Macaca mulatta: one gene and its partner. The protein of the gene in region 2 interacts with the protein of the main gene of each other region in a pairwise test. Links are inferred from orthologs where the notes say so. Each region holds a gene or a part of one and is shown on either strand. Other genes may lie near its edges.

Region 1 (9,997 bases), on a different chromosome or scaffold from region 2:
AAAACAGCACTAAAGAGCCATTGAACACGACTGTATAACCCAAGGCAGTGTAAAGAGACAGCAGGCAATGCAAGGCTCTATTTCCAGAAGGACTAAGAGCAAGACATTCTTCTCCTAAAGCCAGAGAGCTTGCTTCTCAATCACCAATTGCACAGTGCATCCCATTGCAGAACCACTGAATATTTAATTTCACCCCACCCTCACATGATTAAAGACCACAGGAGACTCTCTCATAATCCCAAAGCCACTGGTGACTTCAAGATTCAGATTTCCGAGGTTCAGCTAATTTCAGCTCTCCTAAGTTAATTCTAACTGTGAAAATTACACATCTTCCTTTTTCTACGCAGTCTCCTAACTTCAGCCCAGGCAACCCAAGTGCAGGTCTACACTGATGGAAACTTCTCCCTGTTTTCCAGCAGAGGGTGTGTTTACCAGGACCTCTGCACCCTACCAGAGCCTGTTTTGTTGTTTTGATCTCCCGGAGCTCCATCAGACATTCCAGTAAGGGGAGGAGGCTGGAGTGTTTTTACACAGGAGCGTTTTATGGGACAATCTGGGCTCATAAACATGGGTGCTCTCCTTTCACCAGATATTTAACCACGGGAGAATAAAATGACATATCCTTTTGAATGTCACCAAACGGGTGTGACTCCTAATGGCACAACCTTATCTTGAGGTCACCAAGGCCCCGACATAGGTCTCCTCACTCAGAAACGGGAACACCAATACCCCCCACTACCTTCCTCACAGGCCTGCTCTGATAATATGTTCACTATGTAAATGCAAAGCATTAATAACCAAGGCGAAACACAACACAAATTTCCACGAAATAAAAATGCTGTCTTCCAGCAATTCTTGTAGCCTCACAGGAAAAGAAAATCAGTCACGTATTACGGTCCTACAGAGCAAAAAATCAATCAATCAATCAATCAATCAATCAAAAAAAAGCACCTCCTAATGCCAGTACTAGCTTGGAGTCTCCGCAAAGCCCATTCTCACAGCGGATCGCGGTAGTTCTTGCCAGTGGCCAGCAGATGGCAGTGTTGGTCGAAGGACGTGCGTCCAGGGGTTGCGACACAGACGCGTCTGCCAGGAATTCTGAGCTCCACTATCCCAAATCTTAACTTCCAGTCTCCCCCTTCCTTAGGCTGTACTTTTAGCTTTCGTGGCGACCTCGGTTGAAAGCCCGCGGGGTTTGAGCAGAAATACGAAAACTGCTGTTGAAAATGGCTAAATCTCCTCGGGACCCCAGAAGAATTCGGGGTAGGCGGACATCTCCCCATCGTCCCCATCACCATCCCCATCACTGGGAGCGGGTGCGCTGGGACAGCGGGGCTTCAGGAGCCGGGAAGACGACGCTGCCGGGCCAGGCCGCAGAGACTCAGCCGGACTCGCTACTCGGGTTCTGTAAAACCCACGCTCTCGACACCTCAGCATTTCCGCCCCCTCGGGGCGGGGGACCGCCTTGGCCGCGACGCCGTTCCCGGGCTGCGCTGCCCTATCTGTCCGCGCGACACCACTGCCCCTCATAAACCAGCCTGGCGAAGGCCGCGACGGCCGCGCAGCCCGGGAACCGCGGGCGCATTAGAAACGACTGTTCCCGTTGCACAATAACGCAGGGTCGTATAACAAACAAACAGCAACAGGCCGCCCGAGGGGAAAGGGAGCTGGCGAGGGGCTGGAACGCAGAAGACGGCGCCTGTCCCCCGAGAACGCACGGGACCCATCCTCCTCCATCCTCCCCTGCTTCTCCCACATTGAACTAAAAGGACGCTCCATTCTCAATCCAAACCCAGCGACCTCGGCCCCCTCTCGTCCACCCGGCGCTTTCTGGGCCCACACAGAGCCTGCGAGGCGTCCACTGGCGGCCCGGAGGAAAGGAAAGGTGACCCAGGTTAGCCTCCGCTCCGGGCCCCCGGGGTTCCAGCGCCGCGCTCCACTGAGATCCGGGCGCCGACCGCCCGGGGCTGGGGAAAGCGGGATGCGCCCCCAGAGCCCACTAGAGGGCGCGACAGCCCCGCGAATCTTACCCGGCTCGCCGGCCCGCTAGCCCACAGCACAGGCTCCTGGTCCCCGACAGCGCTGCCGGGAGTGCTGCGCGCAGACTTCACCCGGGAGGCTCTGCGCTCGGACAGTCCAGCCCCAGCCACCGTCCGGTTTCTGACCCCGGGATCCAGAGGAACACTGCGCGGTCGGCTCGCCCTCCCGCCTCCACCACGCCCTCGGCGGCTCGGTTGTCCTGGGGTTGGTGGCGATGCCCAGCCGCTCCCGGGACCTGCGTCCGTGCGCGCCGCACTCTGTACCTCAGAGCTGCAAAGGCCGCCGCGCCCCAGGCACAAAGCTCGGCGTTTGCATTGTTTTCAACTGAGACCCGAGAGGGGGCCGGGCAGGGTGTGGGGAGAGGGGGGAGAGCGGGAAGAGAGGCCGGGCGGGTGGGGGAAAAGGGGCCGAGGGGTTTAGGGTTACAGGCGCTCGCCAGCGCCTCCTATGGGCACGAGAGCCGCCCGGCAGTGGGTAGCGGCTCACATGGAATGCTGGAGAGAGCTAGCCTGCGCCCTCTCGGCATTTAAGAACTGTTCCTGGCCCGGCGCGGTGGCTCACGCCTGTAATCCCAACACTTTGGGAGGCTGAGGTGGGCGGATCACCTGAGGTCAGGAGTTCGACACCAGCCTGGCCAACATGGTGATACCGTCTCTACTAAAAATACAAAAATTAGCCTGGCGTGGTGGCGGGCACCTGTAATCCCAGTTACTTGGGAGGCTGAGGCAGGAGAATCGCTTGAACCCGGGAGGCGGAGGTTGCAGTGAGCCGAGATCGCACCACTGCACTCCAGCCTGGGCGACAGAGTGAGACTCTGTCCAAAAAAAAAAAAGTGCCCTCTGGTGCCAGCTTGCCCGACACGCGCCTTAGCCGCCTCTGCCCCCTGACAAGTCCGCGCCCACCCGCGCTTGTAGCTACCCTTTCGCGGGGGCCAAGAAACTGCAGCAGGAGGCAGGGAAGGAGGCGCCCCAAGTCGGGGTTCCCATTATTCCCTCCTACAATCTACTTTTTCAGCCCATCCCGGGTTCGCTCACTGATCAGTTTAAAACAAAAGGAAATGCCGCCGAGCCACTTCAGCAAACGACAACCATCTGGCAGAAACTGAACTAGGGCGAAGTTGGGAGATGCCATTTGCCCCGATCCTGTATCTTGCGCCCCAGGCGAGACCGAAAGATTATCTGCCGCCCCAAGGCTGATGCTGCGGTGGACCCGGCGAGTTAGACCAGGGGGACCCTGAGACCCACACCTTTCGGTCACTGATCAGGCTTTTAGCTCTTTTCCTAGAATTGCCACTTTTCCACCAGCAACGTATAACCTGGTCGCAGCTCCCCGGAGGTCAGAGGGAGTCCTTCCCTGCGGGGTCTGCAGGAAGGCGCTGGCCACCACGTCCCCAAAATGCGTCCTGCCGCTGCGCGCCGCCCACGGTCTGTCCCCAGGAGGCACAAAATGGGCCCGCCTCGGCGCCAGACGTGTTTGCAGCTGGAAAGCCCAGCCCAATGCCCCTCCCCCTGCATCCCTCCTCAGTCCGCGTCCCGAGAGGAAACTGGCCCAGGGGCGGAGAGCTGGGAGCCTGGGCTCTCCTTCAAGTCCCTCTCGATCTACGGATTTAAACAAGAGCCAGGGCACCGGGGGCTAACGACGGGTTCATTCTTGGCGTCCCCCCACTCTCGTTCCTCCTCACTCTTGTGAACGAGGTCCAGCTGCACTTGGCTCAACCCAAAACTGTGCAAGCTCCGAAGTAGGGCCTGACCTGTGCGTCAAAGCGAGGCTGCTCGGCCTCGCGCCTGTCGGGAAGGCGAGGCAGGGCCTCCTCATAGTGAGGATTGTGGAAAGGAGGAGGCCGAGGAGAGAGGGAGAAGAGGGAGGGGATGCAATTCGGCAGTGCGGGGGTCCAGATTGACCAGATTAGGGGTCGGGGGTGGGACAGCGCGGCGGCTGGTGAGGTGCGCACGCCCGGGACCCCTTCCTCCCCTTCTGTGGCTGCGGGATGTTTGTTGGGTGAGATGCACTGCGGAGGATTGTCGTGCCTCGTTTGCCCTGGATGCCTCTCCCTGCTCCAAAAATCTGTCTAGTTCTGGTCAGGAGCGACCGCGGCGAGGCGAGTCGGTCCAAAACATTGAGCAATTCGGCCTCGGAGCCAAAAAGCCATTTCCCACACCGCCCAGCCCGGGGCTTTTCGGACGTGGGGCGGTCGGGACCTGATAGGGGTCCCATCCATGCTTGCCTCCCACCCAGGGAGATGGAGTGAGTGGCAAGTTCTTCCAGGCACTCTTTGCGCACATCCTGAGGTCTTAGCAGAACTGGGGGAGCGAAGTGCGGGACCGGCCCTCTGGCTGCAGGAGGGATGCACAACGGACAGCCGGCCTGGGCAGCAAGTCCCTCCCGACCAAGACTCGAGGCCAGGTCACCGACAGTTCCCGCACACCTGGCCCGGCCCCGGCTCCTGGCTTCCTCCCGCAACCGGACTGGGGTCGGGCCACACTCCTTGTCGCTCCGAACTGGCCGTCACCCTCTCGGAATAGAACAGCTGATCCCACATATTCAGAGTCAAACGGACGCAGCCCGCTCCCCGGACGCAGCCGGGCGGAGCTAATCGTGTATAAACCTTGTTTCCATGGGGGTAGACAGCAGAGGAAGGAGAAGTACGCACAGACGGCTCTGAACCCGGCAGGGAGAAGAATGGAGAAAAAGGGCGACTAGAGAGGACCGAGCAGCGCTGGGCGAGCGCAGACGGCAAGTGCCGTGCACCCCCGCGCGGAGAGGGGCGCCGGGTAGGGGGTGCCCAGGGCTCAGTTGCCCGGAGGGAGAATGTGGTTTACCTCCCACCTTTCTCTTACCTGCAAACAAATTTCCCCAGTTCCAAGTGGTCCCTAACTTACAAGAAGTTCGACACTTTCCTGGAGACCTTTCCTCTCTTCCTGCCTGAGGCCAGAACTGAGCGGCAGCAGAGCCCCGGGCAATGCAGAAACGGTTCCACCGAGGAGGGGGCGCAGGGAGACGGGCGGGGGCGGGGGCCACGGCGCACAATGAGGACCCCTTGGTGTGCGGTTCGAAATTCCTCAAATCCCAGTTGCTGGAATGCGAGGCGACATCGACTTCTTCACTCAGGGCCAAATGTGTTTGTCATTATTCCAGACCGCCCGCCCGCGCCGCCGCTGTCGCCCCCGCGCTAGGGCGTGCAACCCGAGCGTACAGCCGAGCAGGCACCCGCTCTCCCTAGCACCTCACTGACCCGACAAACCCCTCCAGAGCGCCCCAAACCCTTGCCCACGCCCGCGCCCCTCTGCTTGTCCCGCAGCCGCGTCACCGCTGCGCCAAATCTGGCCCGGACTCTCACCCAGAGCAGCGCCGTCCAGTAATTACGCGCATTCGACCGGCTCCATGTGCTGCAGGCCAGCACGGAGGTCCGGTCTCCAGCCGAGCCCTGCCCGCCTCCTGCGACCAGCAACCCCTTCCCGCGCCCCCCTCCGCGCTCCCCTCTCCCCACCTCCCCTGGTCCCCCAGCCGCGCTCCACACCACGGGCTGCAGCGCTGTCCCGCCAAACCGCAGGCGAGGAATGAAAACACTCATTTAAAACCTGTCGCCTTCCAGGACCCACTGCCAAGAAGAGGGCAAACACCTCTGCCTCCACCCCCAGTTCCTTGGTGTTCGGCCCAGTATTCATGAACACCACCCCCACTCCCAAAAGAAACCTCAAAAATGTAAGCCTAAACAATTTCTTTGGGAGGCCATAGGGTTGTTAGAAAAACATTGTTTTTTAAAAATAGGTCTGGAAAATGTGTGTTTAAAAAAAAATCCCTAGACTTTCTAATTCTATGGTTATCTCCCACCCATCCCCAAGTGAAGTTTATTCCGAAAAAAAAAAAAAAATTCCTCTCTGGACACACATTTGGAATCCAGCTCCATTTTTTTTTCTTGTCGCCCAAAGTTTGAAGTTACTTCCCTTTCTCCAGTCCCAGAGTCTGATCAGGGACTTCTCTTATAAACAAAAAATCATTTTTTCTTCTTCCTTACCTTCTCCTATGTTATTCCGCAATGAATGTCCCACACATGGAGTAAAGAGTGTGTCCACGGCCTCCAATGATCTGTTGTAGTCTCCTCCTCTGTTTCTCTCCCTGTAGCTCCAACAGTAACGGGCTCAAAAACCGCGTTTTGTAATTGATTCAATGTTATAGTCCATCCTTCTAAAACTAATCATTTGCTCTAAGTAAATAGCTGTCAGGAAATAAGCCCCCCCCCGAACCTTGGTCTCTTCAAAATAAAAGTTTCGCTCAAACTCCCCTGCGCTCTGAAGCTCCCAGTCTCCAGATTGCGCCTTCGCTTTTTGCTCTTACGCAATCAGGGGGTCCAGTCCCAACCCCCAGACTTCGACAACAACTGGGGGGGCGGGGAGAAGCCGACCAGATGGGATGGGGGGGTGGAAGGGGGAGGTGTTGGTGCTCTGCCGGGAAAGCGGTTTTGTGAAACTACAAACAGCCCATCATTTCCAGAATGAGTTTGCCTCCCCATTTTGGGGTTATTTTCTTAGACTGCTATAGTTTTGTGTTCTCTTTGAAAACAAGAAAAGGAACATACAAAATTGCATTTAATACCCAGAGAGAATATAAATCTAGAATCAAGAAACGTCCCTTCTACAAACTCGGCCCAACTAGAAATAGGGCCCTCGGGAGAAATCTCCAAGCGGTTGCGCGGTTTTGAACTAAGGGTCTTTTAGGGGAAGGGCTAAGGGCTATATAGTTGCTAGTTCTTTAACGGGATTAGGCAAACTGTTGAGTCCAATATGACAACGATGAGTTTTTGTTTTGTGTGTGGGGTGGGTGTGTGTGTGTGTGTGTGTGCAAGACTGGGTGGAGTCTGAAATAGGGTACAAAGAAAAGAGGGTCTGTGTAGGTTTGGAACATTCTCCGATAGAACGACCTTTACTCCCTTTAAGTCACTTATCTGGTCGTGCCTTTGTTTTGGGGGTTATCTGGGCGAGGTTGCCCTGGCTTCTAACTCGCATACAAAAAAGTTCAAGCTTGGGCGTTTGGGGAATCGTCCCGCCGCCTCCGCATCGTGGGAGAGGGTGCCTTTTGATTCTCCCTCCGTTCCCTCCCGCCGAGTGGGTCGAACCCTACGAATGCTTCGGAGTTGACAGCTGAGCCCCAAACCCTGCGCCCAAGGCGCGAGGCCAGTGTCGGGAGGAAACGATCCTGCCGGCGAGGGAAAGGGGGCGCTGATGCTCCAGAAACCAGACCTGGGCAGAGTGGGGCTTCCCAGCGACAGCGGGGGATGGGAGCGCGTTCACCTTTCTCGCTCTCTGATTTTTGAATTCTCTTGTTGGGGTTGGGGGTCATCCTTCATCCTTCTCCCTCAACCCCACCCCCACACAAGCACTCTGAAAATGGCCAAGGTGGCCAGGTTGGGACTGGCACGTCCAACAGCCGTCTCCTCCTTCACCAGGAGTGGACACAGTGCAGTGGACAGAGGAGAGTCACAGAGAAGTACTCCAACGGGCGCGGTGCTGTGTCTAATTAGGACAGGATCTTGGGGTATCAGCCTCGGAAATAGGGCGCCTGGGGCTGCGCTGGGGGCCCCATTGCCCCAGCTCTTCTACGCGACCTGCTCTCGTGCATCTTCAGCTCGGGTGACTGCACAGCTCGCTATTACTTCCACATGTTCCTTCAGGAAATCATTGAAGGCAAATATATGAACAGCCCCTTGTTCGGAATGCTAACAGGATACCGTAATGTTTGTAGAAAATGAGCGGGACAAACGATTCCCCCCAAAAATCAGAGTGCGGAATAAAAGGCAAACGCGGCTGCTGGGCTTCTTGCTGTTAAGTTGAGAACTGGGTTTTTAGGCGAGTTGCCCCAGAGGGTAGGACGCGAGACAGAGAGCCTACCCAGAAGGACTGCTTTGTTTCGGCGACACTGCTAGCCCGGTCAAGCCAGGGTCTTCCGTCCGCAGGGCCCCAGCGCTCTCCGCCCACAAATGGTAACTTCACAGTTCATTTCAGAGCAGTTTAATGGGGCCCGAAAAGCAGCCCGGGCGGGAGTGGCTCCAGGCAGCGACTCCTCAGGAGTTTAAAGCAGAAAGCAATGGATGAGCAAGCGAGCACCCAGTTGTCCTTCTGGTAGTAATTACCTGCCTAATTTGAATGATGCCTTTGTTATGACCATTAACAAACATTTGTTAAAGGTTTCCATGTGTGACATTCTGGAAGGTTTAAAGGCCTGAGGAGCTGACTCCGGGGATAGTGCCCCGGTGGGGGGTGGCGCAAGAAAGCAAATGGTTGGGGGAAGATTTCGCGGAGAGACTGTGCAAAGAAGAGAGGTCAACATCTGCCTCCTCTGCAAAACAAAATAAACCCAGTGGTCAGGAGCAACCTCCGGACAGGAGACCCTCGAACCGAGGCGGTTGGTTCCTTAAACCGAGTCCTGCCCCTACAGCCCCCGCCCCTACCACTGCTCATAGGCGGGTTTGAATCCTGTTTTCCGCCTTCTAAGGCTGGTACGAGGCTGGTTCGGGAGAAGTCGGGTCTGCGCCCGGCAGTCAGTCCGGAGCGTCGGGTGAAGGCGGGGCGAGTTCTTGCCGCGTTCTCCCAGTGTTTGTTCTAAGATCCTTCCAGATTGGTCCCTCGACGCCCTGGGTCCGGGATGGCCCCGGAACCGCAGGGGGCCAGAAAGCTTGCCCTCCTGAGGCGGGCTGCGGGTCTTTTCTCCCCTTCCTGTGCTTCTGACTGGGCGCCGTGCGGGAGGTGGGAGGAGGGTACCAGGCCATCACGTGTACCCGGAGAGGAGCGACCTGCACCGGCCTGGGCAGCTCTGCGCAGATCTCAACCCGCGCCCGGATTCTAATTTTCAGCCTCTTGGGGTTTTTTGTTTTGTTTTTTCCTTAAGGGATTATCAAGGGGTTAAGAATGTGGGTTTTCTCCCCAAACGGGGAGTCGGGGAGGCTGCGTGCGGAGAGGAAGGAGGCTCAACTCCCGAATTGAGCCGGGCCGGGAAGTTAGGAGAAAAGGGTAGGGACTGTGACAGTTCTGTCCTCGGCCTTGCGCATCTACGCCAGCAGGCGACATGAAATTGGGAGCAAGGGCATAAAAAGGTGCAGTCGATGAGCTCACCTTCAAAAAGAGGGCCTCGTAAACTTTTTACAACCAGATCAAAACGGTCACTATAAACAAAAGCAAAATCTCGCCGTGCCTTGCCCTGCCTCCAGGGCCCGTTCTCCCGGCCCCAACTCCCGGGCGAGGGCGGCCGCAGCTCCGAGGGCCACACCTTTGGCTTTGAGGGCGCTTCCCGCTGAGTTGGCTTTTTGTGTCTTCTCCTCCACTGCTCTCCAGCCCCACCCCCAATTGTACTTTCCTCGAAGAATTCAAGTCCGTTTGCTCTAGAAGCCTTACGAATGTAACAGTTATCAAAGCCGTTAGTTGTGAAAATCACGTTTAAACTTGTGAATTATTTTTTTCAAATGGTGATGGGCGGGGCAAGGGAACAGAGGATGTTTCTGGCTTCACAGTTTGAAAACGAAGGGCCCGTTTGGTGGTTTGCAAAAGAAAATGGTGCGAACTGCTCCTTCCCTCACCCCCTTTAACCCTTGGCTGCATCTGGAATAGCCCCCTCCCTGGGTCCAGCGCGGAAGGGTCCTTTGCCCGGAGGTAGTGGAGGCGACGCACAGATGTGAGGGATCCTCGCAGAGAGAGGGACGCCCTGGCCTCGGGTCTGCCCCAGCTGAGGCTTGTAAGCTAGCTCTAAGGAGTCTCTTTGCACGCTCAGAATTCAGAACGGCACAAGTCTTGAAAAAGGAGGAATTCTACAAAAAGATCGAGATGGGTCTGTGCAGCTTGAGGTGAAAGTTACCCTCCCCAGGACTCCGCACCCACCTCCTCTTCTCTGTGGTTGTTGGCTGGATCTCAAGGTGCAGCCTCTCTTCTGGGTTTGAGGGGCTCGCTCTCCAAGGAGAAGTAGAAGCAGA
Region 2 (9,944 bases):
TGTTTGAGGTTTCCAGGGCCACTGCTTTGGGGAGGCATCTGCAGAAGCCACTGGGCAGACAGGCCTGACGGAGGTGGGCAGCGCCAGGAGGCACGGCCAAGGGCAGGCATGGGCGGCATGTGGGCATCAGTCGTGGGGCCCTGCCACGATGCGGTGTCCTCCACGCTACGGCCCGGCAGCCCTCCTCTGGGACCCCTCCTAAGCCACCAACACCCCTGACTCAGGACCGAGCCCCCAGAACCACAATCCCAGGCCCTCCTGCTTCCCAGGCTGGCCCAGGGGCCTGCGTCCTGATTCCAGGCCCCACCCCACCTTCCCTGCATCCATCCTGTTCATGCTGCATGCCAAAGCCTGGGGCAGGGCAGCTCTCTGTTCCCCACTTGCCCTCCCCAGGAAGGCCCAGGAGGCCAGTGGCAATCCCCAGCCCCCACCTTGGGGACCAGTGGGTTAAAAGGCCCTAAAGCCTGGTAAACTCTGGCCTGCATGAAAGGACCCTGCTGCCAAGAGGCCTCGCGTCACAGCACCTACGAGCCCATCGCCACGAAGCCCTGTTACTGTTTATCCACCTACCAACGAACTACGCTCACAAAAGTAACAATAATAAAATAATAACAGATGCCATTCACTTGCCAAATGCTATCTTCAAGCTCGACCACTACCCTGCAAGGAAGGGTGTTTACTCCCACTTTACAGAAGAGGAGACTGAGGGCTAGAGAGGGCACAAGACTTACCCAGGTAAGGAAGTAGTGGAGCCAGGATTCGAACCCAGGCCCCTCCCAGCAGAGCCCAGGCCCCCAGGCTTCCTGCCTGGCAGAAGCGTGCCTCGGCTGGGTTCTCTGTGGGCAGAGGGCAGTCTCACTATGACTCGTGCCTGACACTTAGCAAGTGTGGAATGGAACTGTCTACATCCAGACAGGCAGGGTCCCCGTTCCCAGTCTGCAGATGATGAAATGGAGGCTTCTCCTCTGAGAGCTGGGCCATGCCCAGGGGACAGAAATCTTTTACGGAGTGCAGAGAGTGGACCGGATGCAACTTGTGCCACGTCACATCGCAAAAGGGACAGAGCTGGGGTATGAACCCAGGCAGTCAGGCTCTGGAAACTGAGGTCTCAGCCTCTCCACATCACCATCTTCCAGGAGCTCAGGTCGGGTCCCACCCCAGCCGACCCTGCACAACCTCTGCTCCTCGCCCTCCCTGAGTCCCAGATGCACAGCTGAACCTGAGGTGTCCCCTGGACCAAGGGTAGTAAACAGTCACCGCCACCTGCTCCTGCTCTGTGAGCAAGAGGAAGCAGAGCCCCTTGCCTAACAGAGGAAGTTCCTGGGTGGGGCACAGAGGGCCTGCCCAGGGGTTCCCAGCCTAGTCCGAGGCGCAGGAAGGGGCCACCTCCAGTGCTCCAGCTCAGGGCTAGGTGCCACCTGCAGGACACGTAACCCCCTCCCCACCCACCAGGCCAGCAGGCATCGCCCCTTTAAGCTGTAGGCAGCCGGCTGGCATGCCCAGCAGGTGAGTCAGCACTCAGTGCCCGCTGACTCACCGCCGGAAGCCTCCGCTGCCCCGGCCTTCTCCTCACACAGGCCAACTGAGAACTTTGCTCCCTTTGGGCCCTGGGCCATGGGTTGGCTGACAGAGAGTTTCCTGTGCGTCACAAGAGGGGTGGGGGAAGTCCCCGAGGTGCCACCTCCAGTCTTTCCGACAGCCGGGGGATGGGGGATGGCCACAATAGGCAGGGCTAGGATACGACAGTGCTCCATGAAACCTCAGTGACCCCACTGGGCAGTCAGGAGTCCTACAGCCACAGTCCAAGCTGTGTGAAGATTAGCCATGAAGTGCCCCCACAGGTGGCACTCTTAGGGCAGAAGGGGCAGAACCCACGTTCTGAATGACAACAGGACACACATGGTACCCTCCAAGGACAAATGTGGCTTGCACACATGCCCCCACCCACTGGCCCCAGCGCCGGCCACTTGGCCTCTGATCCCAGCCAGAGATGGCCATGTGGGCAAGAAGGCCAGGGGAAAACCAACAGAGCTGTGGGCCTGAGGGCCTCACACGCTCACGGAAAACTCCCCAGGCCCATGGCAGGAAGGATAGGGCAGGGTACCTGCTGCAAGGCAGGAAGCTCAAAGGTAAAGCTCCAGTAAGGTCAAGCGCCAGCCACTCCCTGCTTTGTTCAAATTCCTTTGAGAAGGTGGAGAAGGGCTCAGTGCTGGGAGGCCCAGTGCCCAGGATGGGGCAGGCACGGGGTGAGGATCTCCACCTGTGGGAGCAGTCCGGCTACTCCATCCAAGCTCAGTTCTGCATCTGTCAAATGAGTGGGATTTTGCAGCAAGTATGCAACAGGCCCAGTGTAAAGCACTGTGCACAAGAGCAGCAGCACCTCTGCCTCAGTCTGTCCTCTAGGTCTGACATGGCCATGAGGACAGGCCCACTGCACATGCTCTGAGCAAGGCCAGGGGTGGGGGCACCCCACCAGCTCAGCTCAGGCATCCAGCATGGGAGGGGCACATAAGGGAGCACGGGGAAGGCCACTGTGGGGATGCAGTCCTAGGGGGAACCCTAGCTCCGCCTGTCACAGCTGCGTGGCCTCAGGCAAGGCACTTAACGCCTCAGTTTCCTTATCTATAAATGAGGCTATGAGGAATAAATGAGAAAATGCATGGCACATGGAAAAAAAGAAGAAGCTCATAGGGTTTTTGGTGAAGGGCATTGCGGCTCTGTCACCACATCCTTCCCCAGATCCCAAAGAGACTACAGGGTCGCTGGGCCTGAGGGAGGTCCCTGACCCTCCATCCAGCTCCCTCAATTTCATCTGCGACCTGGGTCCCTATCTAGAAGTTCATCTTGGCCCTCTCACAGCGTTCTTACCACATCTATGACCCCTCTCCCTTCACAACTCTGCAACTGGAACTTTTATTTTGATCAGGCATTCTCTGCCTGGAGAGCTAAAAAGCCTCCAAAACAAACAGGGCTTCCTACCCTTCCCCAGGCTCTCCAGAGTGGAGAAGTGTCTGATTTCCTGGTTCCCAAGCTCCACGAGGTCTGGGCAGTGCAAGTCCCTCCCCAGACACCTCCCCCCTCAAGTGCCTCCTGAGTTACTCACAGTGGTTGGGCAATGGTCAGGGATCCGGCCTCCCACTTATGTAAGGCATAATTATCCTGCCCACCCGGCTCCAGCCACCACAGCAGCCAGCAGCAGGGGCCAGGAAGAGCCCGTGCCCTCCCCAAGCCCCCACAGGGCTCCCACTGGCCTGCGCCCTCCAGAGCAGAAGAGCGGCTGATCCCCGATGAGGGGCCCACTAGGTGCCCGCTGCTAGATGCTTCCTCCTGCTCACTCTGCGGCTGCAGTTCCAGCAGTGGAGGCCTTTCCAGCAAGAAGAATGGAAACAATAGCGAGATGTGTGCAGCCAGTGTCCCCTGGTGAGCGCCGGCTCTCCGCCAGGCGCTATGCTGAGTGAACACCTCAGAGCTCTTTTGTATTCACCACCCCACGCCACACTCCCGCGTCCACAGAAGCAGGTGTGATTACTTCCAATTTACAGAAAAGGAAACTGAGGCCCAGAGACACCAGGGAGCTTGCTGGGGTGAAGCAGCTGCAGGTTCAGCTAGGCAGGAGGCAGCCCATTCATTACGGCTACGTCCGGTTTGGAAATCTCTCACACAACCCAGCCTACTGAAACTCCGACGCACCAAAAACATCCTTTCCTCTTCCTGAAAAAAAAATTCCCCTTTTGCCCTCCGAGTCTCATCCTTCCCCCTCCGCATGACAAATCCTGCTGCTGCTGCCACCTCACAAAAATTTCCAGGAAGGCCAGCTACTTGGAGAAGAGCAAATCCCTTGCACAGCCAGCACCCTGGCCTGGCGGTTGGCCCAGATCCCAGGCAGCCAGGAGAGGAATAAGATGGGGTGAGAACCCCAAGTGCAGGGAGAAGCTTGCAACTCAAGACAGAGAGAAGCCAGTAGAGAGGGGGCTGTACCTTAGGGAGGGGTGGGAGGACAAGGGAGGTTCCTGGGAGCACAGGGCTGCAGGACAGGGTGCAGGCCAGCCAGGGAAGGGGCAACATAGGGCCTATAAGGATAAGAAGAGCTGGAGGAGAGAAGGACGGGGAGTTCCGAGCTGGGGTGTAGCCAGAGCACCCGCATAGCGGGTACAGTGAGGTCCGAAACAACAGAAGCACTCTGGGGCCCAGATGGAGACTTAAGTTAAATCCCAGCCTGGATACAGCCCTGGGACCCCAAGTTGGAAATGGGAGTGGGTGCTGCCCAAGGACGCAGATGGAGGCCAGTGTGAATCTCACCTGGGTCCCTCTGAGGGAGAAGACTGAGAGAGTTCCTGTCCAGGCTACAGCCATAAGGCCCAAATGAGGTCAGAGTGAGGCTCCTGACTTGGATGGGGTGAGCAGAACAAAGTCCTAGTCTGGGTCCAGCCTGGGTGATCTCGGGCCTGAATGCAGTCCCAAGGCCTAACCTGGGGGTCCAGGTGAGGACCCAGGCTGCGGCCGGTCCCGGGGCCCCGAACAGGAAGGGGTTCCGGGACCGGACGCCGCTGCCAGGTCGAGAACAGGATGGGGTGGGACCAAAGAAATTCGGTCGGGGTTTGCAGCCCGGCCCCAGATTGGGCGCGGGGTCAGGCCGAGGTTCCGGCCGGGATCGCCTACCTTTGGACTGGGGCATGCTGGCGGGCTGGCTTGAGGCGGGCGACTCCATGCTGCAAGCGGGTCCTGGACGGCGGTGGGGACTAATCTAGAGGACTGCGGGCTCCACCGGGGCCGAGCACGCTCATGGCTGCGGGCAGACGGCCCGGGCCAGGCGGAGGAGCAGAGGCGGCGGCGGCGACTACTGCAAGGACGAGTCCGCGACGGGCGGCGCCGGAGCCAGACTGGGCAGCGCCGGGGGGACCCCGGCCGAACGGCGCTGACTCAGGCCCCGCCCCTGCGTGTCCGATTGGCCCTTTCGTTTCCAAGGCCCGTCCCCTGCCTATCAGACGCCGGTCTGTCCCTGCCTGTCAATTACACGCCCCACCCTCCGTGGGCCCAGGATCCGGGCCCCTCCCGCTCTCTGTCAAGTCTGCCAGCCGCCCGAAAAACCCAAGTCCGGTCAGGCTCCGCCCACCTGGACTAAAGCCGCGCCCCTCGCGCTGCCCGTCAACACGCAAGCCCCACCCACTCCCGGGACCCACTGAGCCCGCTGCTCCTTGCAAGCGCCAGGCTCCGCCCAGCACCCCCAGACGCGCAGCCCCGGCGGGTGCGATGAGTGGGCGCGTTCTCCCGGGTGCGTCGTCTGGAAAAAACCCGAGATCCCTAAAGGTGGCACGGCTGGGCCTGGCGAGGCGGGCGGGGGTTAAAAGTGCGCTGCTGGGCTGCCTCCTGGCTCTCTGAACCTGCAGCTGCCTCACCCCAGCAAGCTCCCTGGTGTCTCTGGGCTTCAGTTTCCTTTTCTGTAAATTTGACCCGGGTTCAGATCCGAGTCGGCAACTTTGTAGCGGAACTAGCCTTGGTCAGGTCGTGACACCTGAGCCTCAGTCTACGCATCTGTGAGCGGGCGGCGGTGACAGCCGTCTGACGGCGCTGCTCGCTGACACGCACTGAGGGCCCGGCGCCAGCAAACGTCCGCCCGCGCCCGCGCTCCAGGCGCCCGGCCAGGGCGCGGGGTTGGTGGTGAGCTCAGCGATGCCCGGTGACGAGGCAACACGAGGAGTTGTCGTGGCTGGTTGTTGCTGCCCCTGTTCTACACCGGGGGAAACTGTCTCAGAGGGAGTGAGGCAGCATGCGGTGCATTTTATCCCACGAGCCCGGAGGCCCCATCCTGGCTCTCTCCTGGACCTTGGTTCTCTCCTCTCCTCCTAAGATCTCAGTCTGCCCATCTGTATAATGGCTGGATGGACCAGTCCTCTCTTTGCTCCCACACGGAACCTTGGGGGATTTCAGGAACCGCTGACCAATCTGGCGCTGGGATCAGATGACTCTGGATGTAAAGTCAGTGCTAGTGAAGGCAGAAGGTACCAGGCAAAGGTCAAGGGGTCAGCCCCTGGCCTCCAGGCAGACATGAGTGTGTACCCTGTCAGGGACCTCACGTGAGGGAAGCAGATTCCACCACCTGCTAGAAACGCTTGAGGCCGGGCCTGACCTCTGCTTGCCCAGGTGTAAAGTGGGGGTGATGCAGGGCCCCATGCACACAGAGTGGGGAGGGCCACATGAGATAGGAGGGAAGCCTTGCAGCCATCACCATTCTCTTCCTGCGTCTCCTGTTCACAGGCAGTGGGATGGAAAATCATGAGTCTGGGGCTCAGACAGGTGTGAGTTCCAATACCAATTCCTCCACTTACTAGCTGGATGTCCTTAAAGAAGTCACTGAGCAGCTCTGTGCCTCAGTTTACCTATCCCATGGGGACAAGAAGGTCTCTGAAAGCATTTCATGAGTTCAGGAGTGGGAACACCTGGCCTAGGGCCTGGCCCTCACTAAGTGCCCGGGAAATGTGAGTTCAAAAACACTGTTGGCTGCCTCCATCCTGGCCGTATCATCCCTGGTGACCTGCGCTTATCCATCCATAAAATGGGCATCCAGTAGCAGTTTCCTTTCTACCAGAACTGAAAGGCTGGTCCAGCAAGTTTTCTGGATTCAGGCACCGGCCAACAGCCTTGACTTCTGCTCCCCGACACTCTGCCTTGTGCACTCTGCTCCTTGGGATGTTCAAGAGTCTTAGTGTTGCCCCTCAAATGTGCCAGTGATGGTCCTGCTGCAGGAGCTTCACCCTTGCTGCTTCCACCCAGAACATTCCTCCACTCAAGCCTCCTGGGGCTGGTTCCCTCTCATCCCTCAGACTGCCTCCTAAATGAACACGCCTAAGAAGCCTTCCCATCAGTTTGGGGACCTTCCCTTCCCAGGTCCCCAAACTGAGGCACAACACTCATGCTGCTGATGCCTTTGTCACTGACTCAGTTTTTAACACAGCTCTCCCTCCAGACCATCTGCGCCTCATTCCCTGCTGTGTTCCCAATACACAGCCCAGAACCAGGTACATAGTAGGTGCCTGATAAATATTTGAGGAATGAAAAAAGGAAGGAGGAAAGCATCCACAGACCAGGGTGAAGCGACTCCAGTCCCGTGCCAACCTCCTTGGCAGCCAGATGACTCAGACGGGCCCTTGCAAACAAGCAGTTTGTAGATTAGTCAGGAGCCCGATAAACAGCCCAGGAATCACAAAACTCCATGTGAGTGCTATAAATAGATGCATGTGCAAAAGTCCCAGTAGGGTGCCTGGGTGATGCAGGCATCTCCATCTGGGTGCGGTCAGGGAAGGCCTCTCAGAGGAGGTGATTTTGAGACTGGAACTTTAAGGACCAGTAGGAGCTTGCCAGGCAGAGAGGCAAGAAGAGCATCGCTGGAAAGGAACAGCAGAGGCGATGGGTTGGAGATGTAAAAAGGGCCACACATGAGGACAGGGTGAGGGGCCAGACTGGGATGCACAGCTGCATTGCTGCAGCTCAAGAAGTACGATCAAGGACCATCAGAGACAAAGGTCTCTTGCCGGCTTGCTATAGTGACATCTCTTGATTTCTTTCTGTCTGTAAGTGGCACAGTAAGGCTGGGGAACTCCATGACCATGCAGAAATCAGAAGAAATGTTTGACATGGGTCACAAGAGGCTGCCTCTTACCTTGACTCCTAGGAGAAAAGTCCCAAACCCGCTGTCTGCGGATGCAGGAAACTCAGTCTCTGGATGGGAAGGATTGTGGCCAAAGTCAGGATGCAAGCATGATCTGAGGTGGACAGGACCTGGGGTGACAGAAGGCTGTAGAAAGAGGCTGACTCAATAGCATTAACTATAAGTTTTGTGCTTCCAAATCACTTTTGGGTTTTTAAGAATTTCTTGATACTCTTAGAGCCTGCTTTCGATTTTGATCCTTTAGTCTTTCTATTTGTCAGGTGCACGAGATTACCTTCCTTTTTTAGCCTTTTGTCTTGTCACCAACCATTCGTACTTGGTGGCCACATACTTGGAAAAAGGCCGCATGATCTTTTTGGCTCCACTCAATGTCTACGACACCCTGCTTCCTTTGCTTGCACCCCACAGACTATTTCCCTCATCCTATTTACTGCAGCAAATCTCTCCTTAGTTGATGACATTGTGTTTATCTCCCTTTAAAACCCTACCTATCCTGAATGGTCTGTCATTGTCTGCCTTTAAAATCCTTCCTCTTCCTCTATTCTCTAAATAATGATGGGGCTAAGTTATACCCAAAGCTCACTTTACAAAATATTTCCTTGGTGCTTTGCAGAAAATACCAAACAAAAATGCCATTTTAAAAGAGCTGGGCCGGGCGCGGTGGCTCAAGCCTGTAATCCCAGCACTTTGGGAGGCCGAGACGGGCGGATCACGAGGTCGGGAGATCGAGACCATCCTGGTTAACACGGTGAAACCCCGTCTCTACTAAAAAATACAAAAAACTAGCCGGGCGAGGTGGCGGGCGCCTGTAGTCCCAGCTACTCGGGAGGCTGAGGCAGGAGAATGGCATGAACCCGGGAGGCGGAGCTTGCAGTGAGCTGAGATCCGGCCACTGCACTCCAGCCTGGGCGACAGAGCGAGACTCCGTCTCAAAAAAAAAAAAAAAAAAGAGCTGTATTTTTTCTTTTAGAATGTAAGCTCCTCAAGAGCAGGGACAATGTTTTCTGTATGTTCTATTTTGCCTAGTACACTGTAAATGCTCAATAAATATTGATGATGGGAAAAAAAGAGAGAAAGAGAGAGAGGCTGACCCAAGCCCAGGATGTGGGCAGCTCCTTCATTCATTCAACAGGTATTCGTTGAGCACTTACTTGTGTGACCGGCACTGAGAACACAACATTGAACAAGATGGGCACAGCTCCCTGGGGAGGTATGCCCTGGTGTGTGAGCCAGACAAGCAAAATGCCTAAGTCGAATTATGACAGGCCAGGCGTGGTGGCCCACACCTATAGTCCCAGCACTTTAGGAGGCCAAGGCAGGTGGATCGTTTGAGCCCAGTAGTTTGAGACCAGCCTGGGAAACATTGCAAAACCTCGTCTCTACAAAAAGAAAAAAAAAAGTTGGCTAGGCATAGTGGTATGCACCAGTTACTCGGGAGGCTGAGGTGGGAGGATCACTTGAACCCAGGAGGTTAAGGCTGCAGTGAGCCAAGGATATGCCACTGCACTCCAGCCTGGCAGACAGCAAGACCCTGTCTCAAAAAAAAAAAAAAAAAAAAAAAATGCTATGGGGAAAAGTAGGGTAGGGGACAGGGTGTGTGTCTGGACATGGGGGCTATTATTTTAAGGAGGGAGGTCAGGAAAAGCCTCCCTGGAAGGTGCCATATAAGCAGAGACCAAAGGACGTAAGGGAAGGGCCCACAAGGATATGTGGGGGAGAAGCATTCCAGGCAGAGGGAACAGCTGTGCAAGTGCCCTGAGGTGGATGGCTTGTAGGTGAGTAACAAGGAGACCGATGTGGCTGGGTGGTGGGAGCTGAGGGGCCCCTGTTCTCACCTATATACACCCCTTGGACGTGCTCACTCCCACGTGCCCCTTCATACCTGTGCTAGTCCACACATCCCAAATACACACGCACACACACATGAACACAAGGGGGTGCACAAGTGTGTATGTGCATGTGGAGGCACCACATGGGCACGTCCACAGACACAACCCACAGGCACAGCGGTGCACATAGTATATGCATGGCCTTGCCACCAGCTGGGGCCTCCACTGCTTGCTGCCCCACAGCGCCCTCTGGTGACCAGGGCATGGCAGTACTCTAGAGTGCCCAGGAGCTCAGAATCCACTGCCCTCACTGCTTTGACCGCCATCCAGCCTCCTCTTCTCTGTGCTTCCTGCCCCTAGGCCTTCCACACTGCAGCCACAGCCTTCCCAAACACGGCTGGCCAAGTTCTAAATCCTGCCCTGGCTCCGTAGATGGGGACCTTCCAACA

The links.
Region 1: the proteins of MAP2K3 (region 2) and PDGFRA come close enough for resonance energy transfer, tested with the Homo sapiens proteins (2 studies listed by BioGRID). The link is inferred for Macaca mulatta from reciprocal best matches to the Homo sapiens genes MAP2K3 and PDGFRA.

What each region holds. Positions count from the first base shown.
Region 1 is NC_133410.1:79,260,259-79,270,255, forward strand, and holds the start of PDGFRA (platelet-derived growth factor receptor alpha), read right to left. Parts: upstream 6,226-9,997; 5' UTR 6,056-6,225; intron 3,485-6,055; exon of another isoform or gene 3,287-3,484; intron 2,534-3,286; exon of another isoform or gene 2,031-2,533; intron 1-2,030. UniProt on the Homo sapiens protein: Tyrosine-protein kinase that acts as a cell-surface receptor for PDGFA, PDGFB and PDGFC and plays an essential role in the regulation of embryonic development, cell proliferation, survival and chemotaxis.
Region 2 is NC_133421.1:22,176,082-22,186,025, reverse strand, and holds the start of MAP2K3 (dual specificity mitogen-activated protein kinase kinase 3), read right to left. Parts: upstream 4,830-9,944; 5' UTR 4,709-4,829; coding exon 4,660-4,708; intron 1-4,659. UniProt on the Homo sapiens protein: Dual specificity kinase. Is activated by cytokines and environmental stress in vivo. Catalyzes the concomitant phosphorylation of a threonine and a tyrosine residue in the MAP kinase p38.